Tamandua tetradactyla: one gene and its partner. The protein of the gene in region 1 interacts with the protein of each later gene in a pairwise test. Links are inferred from orthologs where the notes say so. Each region holds a gene or a part of one and is shown on either strand. Other genes may lie near its edges.

Region 1 (9,544 bases):
CCCAGCTCTCTGCACCTGCCCAGTGCCTGCAGCCCCCAAGCCCCCAGACCCCATTTCTTACTCTCTGGGAGGCAGCAGCAGCAGTGTGGAGGGAAGGGAGGAGAAGAGGGGAAGCAAAGTCAGTGGGTGGGCCGGGCCCCGCCTGGGCTGAGACTTGCCCCCAAGCTGCGCCCAGGCACCCACCTCTTCCTGAGCAGTGAGCTGAAGTCCAGAGTCCCTGCATCGTCGTGGCCTTCGCTGCAGAGAGACATCCCCCCCCCCCACCGCCATCGCCAGTGAGGCCGCGGTGGGGCCCGTGAGGGGCGGGAGCATTGGGGGAACTGGGGGCGGGGGAGAGGGTAGGTGGGGCCTCCGGGGCTTGGGGGGAGCCAGGAAGGGGTACCTGGTGCACCGACCACCTCCGGCCACGCTCCTGTCGGGGGTAGACGTGGTGTCTTCTCCTGCCAGGGGGGGTGTCACCTCCACCCCCGCTGGCCCCCGCTCCCCCCCATCCTCCCCCAACCCCAAGGAGAGTCCCCACAGCCACTCACGTGCGGCGGAAAGCTGACCGGAGGTCCAGGTCCCCAGGCCCTATGGCCTCTGGGTTCAGAGGGGAAGGACTTCAGCGGCGGCTTCCCAGGGACCCTGCCCTGGCCCCTCCAAGAGTCTGCAGGGCTCTCCCCAGGCCACGCTCCGGCCTGTACCAGGGCCAGGGCCCTGGGGCAGTGGGTCAGCCTGGGGTCCCCACTTCCCTTCCAGGCGGGGGCCTCCCACCCAACCTGCTCGCCAGACACCCAGACGCTGCTGGGCCCGGCCAGGAGCAGGGACACACGGGCGATGCAATGTCCCACCCTGCCACCAGGCGCCCGCCCGTCCTGAGGCGGGACGGAGCCCGGGCCCTGCGCCCTCACCGTGGACCGTGAGGCTGAAGTTGCAGCTGTCAAACTTGTCCTTGGTGGCCACCTCGCAGCGGTAGCCGCCGGCTGAGGATGGCTGGGCATCGGTGATGTGCAGCTCGAACAGGTAGGCCTGGGGGAGGCAGGGGCTGGGGCGCCGGCGGCCAGGAGGTTTCTCCCCACCCCCCACCCAACCTCTGCACGCTGCGCACAGGAGAAAGGGGGTCCCACTCGGGGGCCAGCAGGGCGGGCGGTCAGGGGCCCGGGCTCCAGGCCGCACCCCCGTGGGCTCCCGCCTCTCGCTTACCTCGTGCCTGTGGTGACGGACGTTCTGCTGGATCCCTGAGGGCCCCTTGAGCCCTGCCCCCCACCCCCCAGGGCTGTGTTCTGGGCTCTCCACACCGTCCTGTCCCCCCGCCATCCCCTGCACCCCTGCCCCCAGCCACCCCCCTGTCCTGCAGCCCGTGCCCCTCCCCAGGCCACCCCTGTGCCAGGCCCACCTTGCTGGCGCGGTCATAGCTGTCGCGTAGCTGCAGGTGCTGGCCCACCTTGCTGCTCAGGTCCACCCACTTGCCCTTGAACCACTTGACCACAGGTGGTTTCAGGAGGCTGGCCCCAGCCACGCGGGCTGAGAAGGTGATGCTGCCGCCTGCGGGGAGGGGGCCCAGCTGCCGTGGGGGGCCCGGCGGGCATGGGGGCGTCTGGCTGCCTCCCTCCCCGCCACACCCTTGGGTGCAGCTGCCCAGCACTCACCCGCGGTCACCTCACCATCCTGAGGCCGCATCACAAACAGGCCAATGGGGTCATCGGGGGTGCTGGGGCATCCAGGGGCAGGGCTCTCGGGGGCAGCCGAACTTGACCCTGTGAGCAGAGGCCTCTGGGACCTGCCCTGGGACATCCTGCAGCCGGTCCTGCCCTCCCTGCAGCCCCCTCACCTTCAGGCCTTGCAGAGCTTCCTTCCGGCTCAGCAGCCGGGGCCAATGCCCCCCCCGGGGCTCCCGGGGCCTCAGTAGCAGCTGGGGCGATCTCTGCCGTCTCTGGAGGGGAGCAAGTGGGGAGCAGCTCCTAGCCAGAGACCACCCCACACCCTTCGGCCCTGCCCCAGTCTCTGCAGGCTCCTCCAGAGTAGACAGGGCTTCATCTGTCCCTCCCCTTTCCTCCTTCCCCTCCATGACACTTCTCACCCCTTGCTAGCTCCCTCCCCTCCTCTCTCCTCCCGTCCTCTCCTCCTCCTCCCCTCCTCCTCCCCCTTTTCCTCCTCCCCTCCTCCCCTCCTCCTCCCCCTTTTCCTCCTCCCCTCCTCCCCTCCTCCTCCCCCTTTTCCTCCTCCCCTCCTCCCCTCCTCCTCCCCCTCTCCTATCCTCCCCTCCTCCCGAGCACCAGGCCAGGCCTCTCCTGCAGATGATGTCCCATGCTGGGCTCCTGTCCCTGCTGCGTCATCTGGGGGGGGGGGGCGGGGAGCTGCCGGCCCCTGGCTTCCCTTGCCGTTGTCTACCCTCACCCACTGCAGGTCTGCCCTGAGCAGCTCCGGGGTCCGTCTGTCCCTTCCTTCCCTCATGAGGCTGCAGCCTCATCCAGCTCCCTAGCTGGAAGCTCCACCACAGGCTACCAGGGGCTTCCCTGCTGGCCTGAGGCCGGTTCCCATGGGGCCCCCAGAGGCGGCTTGTGCCCTTGTGCCTGGTCCTCCCTGCAGTGGGTCCTCCCCCGGGGGCATGCCCAAGCCAGGAGCCCTGGGGTGCTCAGAGCGGCTGGGCCACAGAGAACAGGGGCCCGCACCCTGCAGGGGGGAGGTGGCACTGCCCTTGTGCCGGGAGGTCGACCTCAGGGACGGGTCTGCCCTTACCCGCCTCTGTGACCTTGAGGTCAAACTTGACCTTGGAGGAGCCGGCGATGACCGTGTAAGGGCCCTGGTCGGCGGGACCCACGTCCCGCACTGCCAGCGTGTGCTTCGTGCCCTCGGTGGCCAGGCTGTACTTGTCGCCCGTGCTGATGTCACTGCCTGCCCGCTGCCAGCGCACTTTCAGGCCCGCCCGCTCTGTCTCGGCCTCGAACACGGCAGTGCCGCCCGCAGCCACCTCCGCTGACTGGGGCTTCTTGCTGAAGGCCGAGGCTGAGGCCCAGACGGGGCTGAGGGACGCCCGGACCCCCCCCCCCCCCCACCGGCCCCCACCAAGCCTGGGGAGAGGCCCTGGGCACGCGTCCCCCCATTTAATGCTCCTTCAGCTCCAGGAGGGGGGCAGCGCTTAGGTCCCTTTCCCAGATGAGGACATGAGGCTCAGAGGGGTTAAGGGGCTTGCCCAAGGTTACACAGCCAGTAGGCGGGAGAGCTGGGGGTGTGGTCTGGACCCCCCACAGGCCAGTCTGGGTCCCCAGGCAGGGGCAGGTGCTCAGGCTGCTTGGAGTATGGCTAAATTTATCCTCCAAGGGCCTGGGGCTGAGAGTCAGCAACTGAGATAAAAAGTTGGCCTGGGGTGGGGAGGGGTGGGACACAGGGTGCCTGCCCCAGTGCCCTTGGTGGGGGCACAGGCCGGGACCAGGACCTGGGAGGTTGGGGGCCCTGTTCTACCCTCAGCCGGGGGCTCCTGGGGCCCCATGACCATCAGCCCAGAGTGGGGGCCATGCCCAGTGTGGAGGTCACAGGGCTGCAGAGGGAACTGCTTAGCTGGAAGGAGGCTTGCGGGCCTCCGCCCATCCCCTCCTTGTCCAGATGGGAAAACTGAGACCCAGAGAAGGGGGGAACCCTCCCGCCCGCAGCAGCCTTTCCCACCAGGCCAGGCCTCCCTCCTGAAAAAGGTCCCAGATGGGGGAGGGCACCCTGGGACTCAACTCCCCTCTCTGTGCTCCAGCCCTGGGTCCAGCCTCACCGTCCCCTGAAGCAGGAAGGGACCTGAGCCTCAGGAAGGGGCCCGAGGCCTGTCGAGTGTTGCATTCCCCACCTCCTCGGGAGCCAGCTCCTAGCCCTGCCCCCCAAATGCAGACACCCCACCCTCCCTGCACCCCACTCGAGCCCAACCCCGGCCTGGAGCTACCTGGCTTCTTCCCTGGTTCCGGCATCTTGGGAGCGACCACAGCAGGCACCGAACAGTCCCAGGCTGTTCGCAGAGGGATGGCGGGCAGCCCCCGCTATATAACGGCCCCGTCACACTCCCTCCCCCGGTCTCCTTATCAGCCTCCGAGCAGCCTCCCGCTAAATATAGACAAATTCCAGGGAGCCCAGGTCTCTCTCGGGGTGGAGAGGGCAGTGGGAGGGTCTGGGCCATTGTTCCTTTCCTCTTCCCCTCCCCCAACACAAATAGGACAGCTTCTGTACCCCAATCCTCAGTGCCCTCAGGGGTACCCAAGCCCAGTCTGTGTGACTATCTGACAGGCAAATTGAAGGTGGAAAGTGGGCTGGACCTTAACCCTGAGGCCGGCAGGTGGCTGTGTGACTTGCCAGGCAGTGAGGGGCCGGGTGGGACAGTGGGGGGCCAGGTGGGACAGTGGGGGGACCGGGCGGGACAGTGGGGTCTGGGTGGGGCAGTGGCAGGGGTGGGGGGAGGGGGTCTGGATGGGGCAGTACCAGACCAGATGGGGCAATGTGGGGCCGGGTGGGGTAGTGGGGGGGCAGTTGGGGGCTGGATGGGGCAGTGGGGGCCAGTGGGGGACCGGGTGGGACCGGGCGGGGCCGCACTGGGCTTTGTGGGGCAGTGGGTTGGGTTGCCCATGGCTGGCACGTGCCCTGAGGTGGGCAGCCCCCGAGCCTGGCTCTGCAGTCCCCAGCCTGATGCCCGTCTGCTTCACCTGTAAAGCGGGGCTGGATTGCCAGCCGGTGTGGGCAGCTCCTCCGGTTGGGAGATTGGAGATGAAGGTGCCCGCAAGGCACTGGGCTGGAGAGGGGGCAACACTGCAGGCGGGTGAGGCCGGGGCGACTCTCTGAGTTGAGCTGAGCCCCTGGGTGTCCCCAATCTGTGGTCCACCCTCCAACGGGGCCCCCAACCCTACTCCACGCGGAGAGAGGCGTGTCCCACGTGACTCATCCAAGCGAGACCGGGGACCAGAGAGCAGCCCCCGCGTGGGGGCGGGTACGTGAGGTGTGGGGGTGCTGCAGGTGGCCGGGCTGCTCCTGCCCGTGGGCAGCCACCTTCGGCCCCCCGCGTTGGGGGCCTGCCCTGACTTGGGGGCTGAGCAGAGCGGCCCTCTAGGGGCCCGGGGCCGGGGGGCCCTGTCGCTGCCGGGCCTGCCCGTTGTGGCCTGTGACCCCCTGGTGGGGGCGCTGGGTGGGGCGCGGGGAGCTGCCACCCGCGCCCTGGGGGGCCTGTTGGGCGCTGCAGCTGGGATGGGCCCCCCCGAGGCTGTGTGGGGGGGGAAAAGTCGGGAAAGCCCAGGCGGCCGGAGACATGCGCCGGCCAGGTCGGGGGGCTTTGCGACCCCCAGCGGCGGGAGGAGCCCCGGGGGCGGAAGGGACGGGCCGCCGAGCGCCATGTTGTCCACGCGGCCGGGGAGGCCCCGCCGCCGCCTTCCTGGGCGTCCCCGCGGCTGCGAGCTGAGCGGGAGCCGGAGCCGGAGCCGCCCCACGGCCGCCAACCCGGCGCCTCCTGTCCGGGGCCCGGGGTTCCAGCATGGCCGCCCGCTGGCAGCGTGATCTTGGCCGAAGCATCTGATCTCTGCCTGCCTCCGTTTCTCCCACTGCGCGGTGCGGCCTCATCAGCATCCGCCTCACACCATGGAAAGTGCAGCGACGCTGCGGCCATCGTCACCCGGGTGACGGGCTCCAGCCCCCGAGGGCTGCTAACCACGACTCATACAGTAGGGAGCGAGGGCTCCTGCTTCCCAGTAGGCACGCCCGGGCCTGGGTTCCGCCCCACGCCGGGCCCCAGGGGGCCCCCTATCCCCCAGGCCTGGACCCCCGGGCCCCAGTGGGCCCCCTATCCCCCAGGCCTGGTCCCCCCGGGCCCCAGGGGGCCCCCTCCCCCCAGGCCTGGACCCCCGGGCCCCAGGGGGCCCCCTCCCCCCAGGCCTGGTCCCCCAGGGCCCCAGTGGGCCCCCTCCCCCCAGGCCTGGACCCCCCGGGCCCCAGTGAGCCCCCTATCCCCCAGGCCTGGACCCCCGGGCCCCAGGGGGCCCCCTCCCCCCAGGCCTGGACCCCCGGGCCCCAGGGGGCCCCCTCCCCCCAGGCCTGGTCCCCCAGGGCCCCAGTGGGCCCCCTCCCCCCAGGCCTGGACCCCCCGGGCCCCAGTGAGCCCCCTATCCACCAGGCCTGGACCCCCGGGCCCCAGGGGGCCCCCTCCCCCCAGGCCTGGACCCCCCGGGCCCCAGTGAGCCCCCTATCCCCCAGGCCTGGACCCCCGGGCCCCAGTGGGCCCCCTCCCCCGAGGCCTGGTCCCCCACCTCCCCCCCCCCCCCCCCCACCCCGGGCCCGGCGGCGCACAGGACGCTGAGGCGGGCGAGGCGGCGGCGGGCTTTATAACAACGCTGCGCGGGGCTGGCTGAGAGTCCCGGCGGTCACTCGCGAGCCCTGCGGGGGCAGGTGGGCAGCCCGGGGGGGCTTCGAAGGGACCATTCGGTGTCCACGGGGCCGAGGCGGGGCCGCCCGATCCCGCGCCCGGGGCTGGTCCCGGCGGGCGGGGCGGGCGGGGCGGGGCCGGGGGGCTGCCGGGGCCCGCGCCCCTCCCCGTGTCCGGCGGGCGAGGGGTTAATGCTGTGGCCGGGGCGGCGGGCGGCCGCGCTCAGTGCGGGGGATGGCGGCGCTCGGCCAGGCCGCGGCCCAGCACCTCGCCGCTGAACTGGTAGGTGAGCTTCTTCTTGACCTTCTTCACCTCCCCGGTCTTGCCGTAGTTGCGCAGCGCGCGCGCCATCTTCTGGTACGTCATCTTCTTGCGGTTGCCCTTCTGCACGCCCCAGCGGTTGGCCAGCTCCTCCTTGTGCTTGGACGAGAACTGGAAGGTGCCCTTGTCCTTGTCCACCCACCAGATGCTGTCCTTCATGTCGCCGCTGCGCAGCAGGTCCAGCAGGAACTGGTACAGGCGAATCTTCTTCTTGCTGCCTGCGGGGAGCAGCGCGGGCGGGCTGGGGGGCCGGGCCCGGGACCCTCCGCCCCTCCCCCCTGCCGGCCCCCTGGGGTAGGACGGGGCGCGCCCCCCCCCGCGGGTTCAGCCCACACACACAGCACAGACGCGCATGCATGCTCACACACACACACTCGCGCGCGCACACACGGCCCATGAGGACACGCTGGGAACTTGTGGGGACCCCTTGGCACATATCACATGCCGCCTCCCCTCCACCCCCCAGGCACCGTGCCCCTCGGCCTGCTGGACCTACCTGTCTCCCCGTGCAGGAGGCCAGGCCCTGGCTCCAGGCCATCAGCCTCCCCGTCGGATACCTCCAGTGGGGGGCTCTGCCGCTCACCCTCCTCCTCATCGGAGCTGGGCTGGGCCGGCGAAAGGGAGGGGTATGGGAGGCACATCCGGGGCAGGTAGGAGACCTGGGCAAGTGAGGGCAAGTGGGCTGAGGTCGGTAAGGGGCAGTTCAGAGATCAGGGCTGTGGGCAGCACTGAGGCTGGGTGGTCAGCAGAGGGCAGAAAGACTAAGGGGAGGCAGGGAAAGCTGGACGTCGCTCAGGTCAGCAGAGGCGACCAGGCCCCCCATGCACAGGGGTGCAGACTGTGCACTGCACAAGGGCGTGCAGGTCCTCGGCACTCACCAAGCTGAGCTTCCTGCTGAGTGGATGAGCGGGTTCCAGGGGCTGGGAGCAGGAGGGCTCAGGGGCCAGTGGGTTGGGTTAGGACTGGACAGACTTTAGTAAGTGGCGGGAAGAGTGAGTGAAGGACGCAGTGAGGTCAGCGAAGGCTTGTAGGGGTCAGTAGAGGTTACTGATGGGGACAGAGTCCATGGGGCCAAGTAGGGTCATCAAAGGGGTCAGTGTGGAAAGTAAAGGGTGAGGAGAGCCCAGCACTCAGCACCCTGGACACCACACCCTTGGGGGCGCCCATCGATGGAGGCTGCTGGCTGGGAGGGGCAGAGCCATGGGGACTGCCTGGAGCCTGGCCACCCGTGGGCCGAGAGCTGATGAGGGGTGTGGGATCGCCAGGCCGGCCGGAGGGTCCCAAGGCCGCTGGGGGGGGGGGGGGGGCAAGAAGCAGTGTGGGGCACGAGCGCGCCGGCTCCTGTGTGCCCTTGGCCTGGGCGGGGCAGAGCTGCGCACCTGGTGGCTGAGAGTGGCATGGGGCGGGGCCATGGGCGCGTCCAGCACGTGCATCTGCTCCAGCTCCATGTGGCGGTAGAGCTGCTGCAGCTGGGGGGGCTGCACGCTCTGCAGCTCCGTGAAGTGGTTCTCGGGGAAGCTCTCGAACTCGCTGTGCACATGGTGGGGGTGGAAGTCCCAGTAATGGTCTGCGGGGGGCAGCAGGGGGCGCAGTGAGGCCGGGGCGGGGGTGGGGGTGGGGGTGGAGGCAGCGATAATGAGACACAGTGCCACGCGGGGCCCTCACGGGGCCAGGCCGGGCGACGCGCCTGCCTGCCGACCTCACTCAGCGTACACCCCATCTTGGGAAGTGGGCGCCCCGCTTCATAGATGACCTGAGGCCTGGGGAGGCCGCAGAACGTGCCCAAGGGGCCCAGGTCCGAGGCCTATTGCCCACATGGCTGCAGGGGCGCAGACTCGGGCCCCCCGCTGGCCTGCTGGGGTGGCTGACCCTCCTAGGACATGGGGCTAGCGGTTACTGGAGGATGTGCATGAACTCGCGCCTGTGGAAACTTCCAGCAGGGACCCGGCCACTGCCTGCCCTCGCCTGGTGCTGCCCACCATCCCGAGCTGCTTGCCGTCCACAGGCGCAGGGGCGTGTGGCCTCCTCCCGTGGCTGGGGTGGGCCATGGCGGTGCCCGGGCGCCAGCGAGGTCCCTGGGATGTGAGTCCTTCCTGGAAATTCCCCTGCAGCGGTGCTTCCGGCCTGTGGCGGAGTGGCTTAGGGCTGGAGCCACATGCCATGTCCTCTCGTGATGAGGGCAGGGCCTGAACGTGGGTTTCTGGGCACCTTTTCCAGGAACAAAAACTAACGCGTGTCTGAAGCCTTCCTGGGTCCCCAAGCGGTGTGATGGCGAGATGACACTTGGGGTTTCCTCAAGTGGCCTGAAGAGGGAGTGCACAGACAGACATACACCCACGAGGCCAGGCCCTGCGGGCTGCCCCTCACCGGCCCGGGGCATGAGCGTGTGCCTGTGTGCATCTCTCCTTCCTTTCCTTGCACAAACACTTCTCACTTTTTTTTAGCTCAAGGCTGGAAAGCAAAGGACTTGTGTTCTAACTCTGCCCCCGTGGTGGCTCTGCTGTGTGACCCTGGGCAAGACACTTTGTCTTCCTGAGCCTCTGATTCCCCTCCCCCAACATCGGGGACCACCCGGGAGTGAGACCTCCTGAACCCACAGACAGGCCGCCTGGCTCCCGCCCGTGTGGGGCCCACGGCACCAGGGAAAGAGCCCGCGAAGGAGGCAGGTGGAGCGGGACGCAAAGCCGGCTGTGCCCGCCTCCGTGGCGCAGGCCAGCGCCTCCCTCCGTCTCTCCGCGCGGCCGACCCCATCTTAAAGTGGACCTGGTCACAGCACCGTCTCCGAGACTTGCTGAGTGACTGAGGCATGCGGAGTGCTTAGAGCACAGCCAGGCACTGAGACTCCACCACCCTCACCGTTGTCAT
Region 2 (9,898 bases), on another chromosome or scaffold:
GAAACACTGAATTCACACATGGAGGTAGAGACAGAGATGCAGAAAAGCCCCAGAGAAAGATGTACAGACATGCAGAGACAAAGACGGAGAAAGATTCAGAGGACATCTCTGAGAGAAACATACTCAGACTAAAGAGACTCACACACTTGTAGAGACAGGACAGAAAGAGAGGCAGAGAGACAGAGGAACAGTGAGGAGAGAGAGAGAAAGAGAGAGAAAGAGAAAGAGAGAGAGAGAGAGCCTAGAACTTGAGTGAGCTCAGTCTGAGCCCTAGCAGATCCCCGGTACTCACAGGTCTCTATGTCTGCAGACGCCAGCTTTCCGGTCGCCCCAAAATGGATTCGAATGAATTTCCCCTGGAAAGTTGGAGGAGGGTAGTGATGAGCTGGGGAGGAAAGCCCACATTTGAGGCCATCCCTCAATCAGTCCAAGTCCCAAGGCCAAGGTGGTGAGGGAGCGCTCACAAAGCGGGAGGAGTTGTCGTTCCGCACGGTCTTGGCGTTGCCGAAGGCCTCCAGGGCAGGGTTGGCCTCGATGATCTGGTCCTCCAGGGTGGCTTGCTGTGGTAGGGAAGGGGGCAGGTGAGAGGCCCTCCATCTCCTTTCCTGAAGTGCAGGTCCTTAGAGGACAACAAGCCTACCTTGCCTGTGGTCTGTTCCTTTTTACTGCGGTCCCCAATGGCGGCGATGACAGCAAAGTACTGGATGACCCTCTTGGTGTTGACCGTCTTCCCTGCCCCAGATTCTCCACTGTTGGGACAGTCAGGGGCTTTTTAGGCAGTGGGATAAATACTGCTTGGGACTAACAAGCCTCATGTCTGGAGAGGATTCTGGTCCTGCCTGAGAGCGGGAGATGAAGCAGGAAGCTGCCAGGTCACACAACCTAAAGCACACAGTTGCTTTCAGACCTGTGTCAGGTTGGAGGAGTGACCAGGAAGGCACAAGAAAGCACTGACTTTGGGCATGGGAAGCCTGTGCTTGGCTGGGCAAGATCAGTCAGAGGAGCTGAGCTTGGGGTCGGGCTGGAACGATGCAGAAGGGTTCTGAAGGGAAAGATGAAAGGATGTGAAGACGTAAAGAAGACATGGTGCTGACAGGGTTATGTATAAATGATGAGTTTGACGGGAGAGGAAGAAGGAATGGGGGAGGAAAATAAGAGAGAGAGAAAGCAGAAAGGAAGGGGGAGAATAAAGAGAAGGGTAAGGGTAAAGGTCAGAGGAGAAGATGGGTGAAGGGGGTAGGGACAGTAGTGTAGGTCCATGCACGTGGGCCTGGGATCCCTGAGGGGGTCTGGATCAAGGAGATTCTGGAGGAGAACATGGCAGGAGCTACACTCACGTGATCAGGATGGACTGGTTTTCCCTGTCTGTGGGGAGAAAATGGGAAGGAAAAGTCAGGAGCAGCACAGGATAGTTTCTCACCACCCTACTCCCTGCCTATCTCTAGGCATCTCCCAGCTTCCTGAGTCCCTCGAGGAGGAAGAAGGGAACAAGTGTGAGTTCCCTCCACTGGGACCCTTTCAGGGAAGCTCTTCCCGGGGGTCTCTCACCCGTCAGCATGTACTGGTAGGCGTTGTCGGAGATGGAGAAGATGTGGGGCGGGGCCTCACTCCTCTTCTTGCCCCGGTAGGCGGCCACCACCTCCGCGTTGTACACCGGCAGCCACTTGTAGGGGTTGACGGTGACGCAGAAGAGGCCCGAGTAGGTCTGGGCATAGAAAAGGAAGAGTGAGTTCCAGTGATGAAGGGGGCGGTGTGGTGGTTTTCAGAATTGGGGACAGGAAAGAAAGGACCATCTCCTAAGGCATTAAATCTGAGTGATCCCAGCCTTCAGAGTATTAATATGGAACCATGGGTGTCCCGACTAGGATGAAAGAGCAGTGCTGCCTCCACACAGAGAACAGAAACTCTTGGCTCCAGGAAATGGAAATATGTGGACAAGGAAGCTACTAGATTCAGAGGGATATGCTAAGGGCTGGCACTCACGTAGATCATCCAGGAAGCGTAGCGCTCCTTGAGGTTGTAGAGCACGGCGGGCTCGTGCAGGAAGGTCAGCATGGCCATGTCCTCGATCTTGTCGAACTTGGGTGGGTTCTGCTGCATCACCTGGTCCTCCTTCACGGTCACCGTCTGCAACAGCCCACACAGGCAGTGCTGTCAGCTCATGTTATCCACCCTGAACCTTTCCCTGCTCTCTCAACAGGGATCAGAATGAGGGGTTTCTTAGGGGTAGGAGTAGGGAGAGTTCCAAGCCCCTGGTATTTGAGAGGAGGAATCAGAGTCTCACAGTTGAATGTTGGTAATGAGAAGGGCTGCTGAGGATTTGTAGCCCACCCAAATCAAAGGGAAATTCTTGTTGCACCCATCTCATGCCAGCCCTTCTACCTACCTTGCCACGCTCGGTCTCGGCAGTGACTTTGCCACCCTCTCGAGACATAACCTTGGCCTTGACGAACTCCTCTTTGTCATCAGGCACAAAGACGTCCTTCTTGAGGTCAAAAGGCCTGGTCTGGGCTTCTAGCCGCTCCTTCTCTGACTTACGCAGGTAGGGAGCAGCAGCCCCAAACGCGGCCATCTCCGCATCCCCCATGGCTGTACCTGTAGTGTGCAGGAGAAGAAGCTGGCTGCCCTGTCATCTGCCTACGCTCCTCTTCCCCTCCTTCGTCTCCCACCTTCCATGGAAGCCCCACAACCTAGCATAATGATCAGGAATCAAGAAGGGTCACTGGCAAGCCCCTTGTTCTTTGAGCTTCTGTCACAGGCCGAAGAATGGCCTGGTAAGCCTGTCAGGGTAGAAGGGGCGGCTGACTACTGTTTAGGCTGGGTCTCTCTTAGGGAAGGAAGAATGCCCTGGGCTTCTTGTGGGAGCAGGAATCTGACTCTCTTCCATGCGCAGGTCCTCTTCATTAGACACAGGTAAGGAATCCCTGGTAACTAAGGTTACCTCCCCAGGGCAGGGCAAGAACTAGAGATTCATAGCCTGGCTCTGGGGTTGTCATGCCCAATCTCCCAGATCCTCCCGCACCCCATCTTCAGCTTTCCTTACCTTGGCTTCTCAAATTTGTCTACAGATGAAGAATGGGGCCCAGGCCTACGGGGACCTGGAGAGAGGGAAAGCAGTGTCAGGGCAGGCCATGGCCCCACCAGGCAGTACCATCTCCCTGGCTTTGCCCTCCAGCACCCAATCTTCTTCCCCAGGTCTGAACACAGGTTGGAATTGATGGTCAGCTCCTCCCGTTGCATCCTCTTTCTTGCTTTCCAAACACTCCCCCCTTCCCCACTTCAAGTACCAGTTCTAACAGCCTGAGGGCAACTCTGCTCTGAACCCCTACACTCCTGGGAAATGGTCCCACCCTTGCTTATATCCACTTAGTAAAACTCTCTTCCTTTGAGCCCCCTGAGAACTAAAGGTCGCCTTTGTCTGGTGCTTTTCAATCTACCTGTGCTCTTACAGGATCCTCACCCTATTCTACAAATGAGGCCATGAAGGCCAAGCTGTCTGCTTGCCCAGGAATCCAGGGTGAAGAGCAGCAGAGCCAGGACCAGAGCCAAAGTGCATGACTGCAAAGCCAGTTCTCTTCCATCATGTCCCCATTCTGTTGTTAGACTTTGTGACGTGCTCAGAGACACTGTGGGCATTCTCTCAGATACACCCAGCGCACAGCCGTGTGCCACATGTCCTCTCAAGAACACACATACCCATTACTCATGCCCACAGTCCACAAAAGGACACACTGATTCCTTACACCTGGGCATACACGCATATCTCCACCAGGGTGCCACAGGCCTCCAAAACAGCTGTGCACTTTTAACACAGCAAACCATAAATAGACTGACAGTGATGTATGACTTCAAGAATACAAGGACCTCGGACACCCGCACTCGTGCCTGTGGGCTCCGTTTGCAGGAGCACACACACGGTCACATGCACGCCCCAGGGGCACATTCAAGCACCTCTACCTGCATGCACATGGGTATTTATATATTGCAGATTTTTCACAGAGCCAGCCTTTAAGCACACATGCTTCCTTCTCCTCCCCACCAATGGGCCTGCTGTTCTCAGATATGATCACAACCCCCTATCCTCACCTGGTATCCATCTCTGTGTCTTAGCAGTGAGCACCTGTGCTTGCTTGCTAGCAAACCCCACCCCAACCCCGCGCCGCCACGTTCAGTGTATGCCTGCTGCACACACCTCTGATACATTCTGGCCCTGTATGCTCAGATGCAGACATGCCCTGCCATAACACATGAGTCTCCACATTCCTAGGGTATGTACATGCCTATTTAGGCATGCACACGTGTCCTCCATGACCAGACCTGGCACTCTGCATGCAGCCCTATGTGAAGCCTGCTATGTCCTAGAGGAGCCTCTTCCTAAACCTGGGGCCCCGATCCCAGAGGAAGGCCTTCAGCTCCCCGCTCCTACCTGAGAGCAGCAAGGAAAGAGACACAGAGGGCAGGAGAAAAGGCTGTGGAGCCAGACCTGGTCTCAGGGGCTGTATATATGGGGCAGAGGGCACCCCCACCCCCACCTGCACCCTGTCCCTAGCCGGATTTAGAAAGGGCTGTTGTCACTAGAAGCATTTCCCCCAGCCCCCCTCCTCCCAAACAGCGTTCCCCCTCCCCCCTCTAGGCAGGAAACAATTGGAAGTGGTCGTCATTGTTATGGCATGGAGTATGCAGGGTCTGAGTCCCAGGGGGTGGGGCAGCTCAGAGTGCATCCAAAATATCTCCCAGGCCAGGCCTCACATTCCACAGCCGGTAGGAGAGGGAACTGACCACCACCACCATGAACTCGGGCAGGCAGGGCCCCGTGCCTCCAGTAGGGCTTCCCTGACCTGACCCTGCTGGCCCCAGGGCCCCCTGCCCCCAGTGCTGGTCTGGCCTGACTTCCCCAGTGTCCTTCCTGCGCTCCCGCTCCCGGGCTAGGCCCTGTACCCAGCTGTGAGATAGGAAGGGGCTGATTGTCAGCAGCACAGAGGGATGAGCGGAGTCGCAGGCATGGCCCCACGGTGGGGGGCTAGATTGGGGCTACTGGAAGGAGACGTCCCAGCCAAGCGTCAAGAACCAGTGGCTCTGGCAGTGATTTCCTTGGACAAGGCAGGCGATGAGCTGAGGTCACCGAGTCTTAGAGTCAGACTGGCTTTTAGTGATCGGTCCAACCCCATCATTTCATGGAGAGGGGAAATGCCTTGCTTGAGGTCATATGGCTATTCAGGGCAGCAAGATTCAAGGGAGGAAACCTCAGCAAGCAGAGATGGAGTGCCAGCTTACGGAGGGGGAGGCAAGGGAAGGAAGGCTGGGATTCCAAGCAGGCGACGACCCATTGTGCATGGAAGGCAGGGCCTAGTTGCCCAGAGGGAACCCCAGTTTAGAGCCCTTTGCCTGACCTGTTTCTGTAGCCCTGCCCTGAAGGCACTAAAAGCCCTAGCCAGAACCAGACATTCTGAGCTGTAGATAACGCAGCTGCTCTGAGCTAGAAGACAACCCCTAACCAAGATGGCAATGCCTAGCCCACCTGCCCCCTGGGGTTCTGCAGGGCAACCTCTGTCCAGACCTGGAGGACACTGGTGCTCTGGCAAGTGGGGCAGAGGGAGAGGAAAGGTTTCCCCTTTCCTTCAAGCCTTAGAGGCAGCCACACGGCTCCTAAGGTGAGGAAAGGCAGCTGGGGCTCAGGCTCTGAGCCAGCAGTGGGGTGTGCGAGAACAACTAGCCCTGTGTCCAGGCAACCACTGTGTGGCGTGGTTTAAATCCCTCCTCCTTTCCCAAACATAGCGCTTCAGCGCACGTGGGTTAATACATCTGATTAGCTGGAAGGGAAGAGGCAGGCCTGGGGGATGGGGTACAGAGTTGGTACATTTTGAATGAGGGGTGAGCACAGCAGGGAAGGGCAAGTCCAGGTGGGGCCTGGATCCGTGGGGGCTGCTTGGTAACCATGGCACAAGCTGAGGACATCGGGCAGCCGGTGGGGGCGACAGCAAGGAGCCGCGGGCGCTGTGGCTGATGCAGTCACGTGGCAATGCTGAGGTCCGCAAGTGCTGAGGCGGCCCCAGTGGGCCCTGCTGCTCACCTGGCCAGCAGAACACAGGCTGGAGGCCCCAACAAGGCCCTGCCAGGTGCCGAGGAGTGAGGCCTAGGGGCCTCAGAGATCGGCAATGAAGGGGAAAAAAACATCTCTTTTCATCCACCCTTTCCAGTTTTCCAAGCATGGGGCTTCTGCTCTTCCTTGATTTCCCAGGGCTCAGGCTGAGATGCAGACGATTGAGATGCACAAAGGTGCTGCTTGAGACAGAGCTGGGCTATTTCAAAGCCAGCGTCTCCACTACAGGCCAACCTCCTTGGCTGTGGAGTGGGGAAGACTTCTCTCCATGTAGTGGAACTAATCACACTCTGTTACCCTCTTTTCGGGGTCAGGGGGCATTGGCCTACTGGTGTTATGGTGTTACTGTTCTCCAGTCCCTGATGCAGACTAGAAACCACCCTCCTGCCTCTAGGCTTGCTGCCTCACGTCTCAGACACACGGGAGGGTGTGATGTCCAAAGGTCCCCCACTCGTTCCCCGGTCCCTCCGGCATGGATCTCAGCTGCAGCATGATGCGCTTCCTTCTGCAGCTGCCACCTGAGGACTGTGCGGCTTTGCTGAATTTGTTCATTCAAGAAACATTTATTGAGTGCTTACTGGTGCCAGGCGTCATTCTAGTCAGTGTGGATGGAGTGACTGAAAGAAAGATCCCTCCCTGGGGCGGCTCTGTTCTCGTTGCAGAAGTGAAATTCTGGGCTCAGTGTGCAGCTGGTGGCTTTGCACACACACATTCCTAGTGGGGAGAACCTGAGCGAGGGGCGACGGGTGGGGCTGGGGAGGGGGCCGTGCAGCGCAAACTACAGAGTGGGAGCAGACAAGACAAAGGAGGGCAGAGCAGAATGCTATAAATAAAAAGGAGAGGGGGTGCGGAGGGGGGGAGCAACTTCACCAAGGTAGACCAAATAAGGTCTGGAGTGGAAGGAAGGTGATCTGTCTCCTCTCCTGTCTCTACCCCCACCCCCTCTGGCATTGGGCCTGCTTTGTCTGGACTCTGTCACCACCCTAATCAAGTGTCAGGCCAAAACAAGGGCCATTTGCTGTGAACATGCCAGTGGAAGGCCAGAGGAAAAGTTGCTAAAATTACTACCGGGAATGGAGGAGGGGCCATCAGAAGAGACTTGAGCCTGGAGAGGGGGAGATCACAAAGGGGCCCCCAAATCCAAAAGGAAGGGGCAGAGATGAGACAGAAAGAGGTGGGGGCTGTGGTCCAGGAAGAGGAATGAGGCACCAGTTGTTTGCACACAGGGAGGGGAGCTCTCCCACCTGCCCACGCCTAGAATCCCTGACCTTGGGGGCCCCTACCCTGGCTCCACACGAGCCTGGGATTAAAGAGCCCAGCTTTGTGCTGTATCAGGTTTCCCTTCACAAGCAGCTGCTTCTTCTTGTCATTCTTTTGTCTTCCTGCTGGCTCCACAGTCTTTTGTACCTCTAAACGCCCCACCCTTTACCGGCAAGTCTCGAGGGCAATTGGAAAGAAGGGGTGGGAGGAAGAGGGCTGAGTGTGGGGCTTGCCCAGTTTAGGTTTGGGGTGGTTTGGGAAAGTAGATCCTGCCTTCAGTGAACGTTTGGAATGGAACAACTCAGGCAAAGGGAGACTTTGTGGGGAGTGGATGGTCTGGCTTTCAGGGCTGGAGGCCTCAGGGGGCACAGGAGGGGCAGCCTGGGGACACAAGTTTCAGAGTCAGTCACAAAGAATCCACTCCAAACCCAGGTCCTCCACGTTCTAGCTGTGTGGTCTAGGTCAGGCACGGAGCCTCTCTGAATCAGTTTTGTCATTTATAATATGGGGATAGTCATGTTTCCCTTCTAGGGTCATCAAAGGTAGCAAAAGTAAAAGGTCTAGCACGGCACCAGACATGTAGCAGGCTCTCACTAAATGACAGCTTTTATCGTTAGGAACACAAGCTTGAGGAGCCAGGACTGCAGACAGGCAGGGCCAGCTACCCTGCTTTAGGTTCTTTGCCACCCCCAACCCTCCACCATCTCTGCCAATACCACCAAGACAACTCATTTAAGTGGTGTTCTGGGCCAGGGTGGACCAGGGCATCCAGCAGCCTGTGTCTCTACAGCCTGCATTGTGCTTACCTTTGGAAACATCATGGCTAGAGAGGTCAAGGTCCTCAGGCCACTCTTGACATTCTTGACTTAAGCTCTGAGACTGGGAGACAGCAGCCCTAACTGCTGCCCATTGAACTTGCCCTTATGACCAGCCAATGTGCTAAGCTGAGGCCCATGAAGAATTGGCCCAGGTCAAATAGATCCATTCGCCAAGGGCCCCTGATGAAAGCATCAGCTATATATGTACATATTTTAACATCCTGGACTGAAGATCTCAGGGGTCCTGGGCACACAGAGCTGCCTGGTGGAGCTGGGTTGGCCCTAGGGCCTGGGAGTTGGGTTGCAGAGGGGAGGTACACTAAACTGGGGCCTTCAGGAGGCAGGAGGAACCAGCCCTGGGCTGAGCAGTGTTCCTTCAGCAGTCTCAACCACCCCCTGCATTGGAGCTAGTAGGGGCTGGAAACCTCTGGAAGGAGAATGGTCAGGGCATCGTGAAGTGAAATAACCAGAATAAATAAACTGAAAAGCAGCATCCTGAAGTCATTTCCTGGATACTTTGGTGTTCAGACCCAGAGTTCTGTACTCTGCTCTATGTCGGGCTCCAGTTAGGACCTACTCCAGGTTCTCTGCTCTGTTCATAGGCAACTTTGGGGTAGTATCCTGTGGTCACCATGCCTGGATCAGCACAGAGTACGGAGAGATCATTGGATTTGCTAGGAGTGGAGATGAATGCTTCTTGAGGGTCTAAGAGGCTGGGTAATAAGCAGTCCCCTTTCCAAGGGGAGGAGGGACTCTATACTTCATTCCTCATGCCAGAGGTGCCCTCTCTTAAGCCGGCCTCCCTGGAACCATTACCTGTTTCCCAACTGTCTACTCTGACACATAAATGTAGGTGAATGCACACAAACACACATGTTACATGCATTATACACATGTGCATAGGTATACATCTCTGCACACGCATGCATGACATGAAGTCTGAGCCAAAGTCAGTAGCCAGTGTTAAGATAGAACATTAGTATTTGATCAGCCTGCCAGGGGTGTCTCCTTCCCAGTTTCTAGTCCAGCTCAGCCTGTTTCATTCTCCCTTTATTCTCCAGTGGGTCCCAGTCAGTCAGTAAGTCAGTCAGTCTTAGTCAATGCCTTACTGTGGCCCCTGCTGTATGCTCAGCTCCATGGGGGCCACAGGAGGGTCACATGGCCTCTGGCTCACCAGCACTCCCATCTTCTAGTGTGGCTACTAGAACACACTGGAAACCAAAGGAGAATGGTTCAGGGCTGAATAAGTGTCCAGATCTGGAACAACCAAAGGGCAGAGAAGTTCTTGCTTAATGTGGGCTTGAATAATTGAAGGTTTCAAGGTGGAGGGCTTGCAATCCAATCTAAAAGGAAAGGCAGGGCTTTGAGAAACTGTGGGAGTTGAGACGTGTCCTAGGTGGTGCAAATTACAGCATGACCGAAGGCATGGTGGGGGAATGGTGGGCAACTCTTCTGCCTGGTCAGAGTATGGGGAGTCTGGAGATATAAGATGGGAGGAGAAAGAGTTGCAGCCACATTGTAAGGGAGAGGAGAAAGGGCTCTACATGTGTGATGTGCCCACCGAAGCCAGGGACACGCATTGTGTCTTATAATTATTATCTCACTGATGCTCACATTTGTCTGCCAATTAAATTGCATTTTATGGATAAGCAATGGGGTACACGATGAAGAAGTTTGCTCAAGGTCAAGCAGCAAGTGTAGTCCTGGGATTCAAACCCAG

The links.
Region 2: the proteins of MYBPC3 (region 1) and myosin-7 interact in a two-hybrid assay, tested with the Homo sapiens proteins (2 studies listed by IntAct). The link is inferred for Tamandua tetradactyla from reciprocal best matches to the Homo sapiens genes MYBPC3 and MYH7.

The regions. Positions count from the first base shown.
Region 1 is NC_135334.1:124,086,158-124,095,701, forward strand, and holds the start of MYBPC3 (myosin-binding protein C, cardiac-type), read right to left. Parts: upstream 4,042-9,544; 5' UTR 3,930-4,041; coding exon 3,905-3,929; intron 2,986-3,904; coding exon 2,719-2,985; intron 1,913-2,718; coding exon 1,811-1,912; intron 1,737-1,810; coding exon 1,629-1,736; intron 1,525-1,628; coding exon 1,376-1,524; intron 1,009-1,375; coding exon 891-1,008; intron 580-890; coding exon 531-579; intron 413-530; coding exon 383-412; intron 238-382; coding exon 184-237; intron 1-183. Other genes in the region: SPI1 (transcription factor PU.1), read right to left, coding at 6,581-6,897, 7,176-7,338, 8,059-8,246. UniProt on the Homo sapiens protein: Thick filament-associated protein located in the crossbridge region of vertebrate striated muscle a bands. In vitro it binds MHC, F-actin and native thin filaments, and modifies the activity of actin-activated myosin ATPase.
Region 2 is NC_135340.1:31,456,021-31,465,918, reverse strand, and holds the start of myosin-7, read right to left. Parts: upstream 4,535-9,898; 5' UTR 4,427-4,534; intron 3,099-4,426; 5' UTR 3,044-3,098; intron 2,596-3,043; 5' UTR 2,588-2,595; coding exon 2,387-2,587; intron 2,128-2,386; coding exon 1,984-2,127; intron 1,706-1,983; coding exon 1,549-1,705; intron 1,366-1,548; coding exon 1,338-1,365; intron 750-1,337; coding exon 641-749; intron 561-640; coding exon 465-560; intron 357-464; coding exon 293-356; intron 1-292. UniProt on the Homo sapiens protein: Myosins are actin-based motor molecules with ATPase activity essential for muscle contraction. Forms regular bipolar thick filaments that, together with actin thin filaments, constitute the fundamental contractile unit of skeletal and cardiac muscle.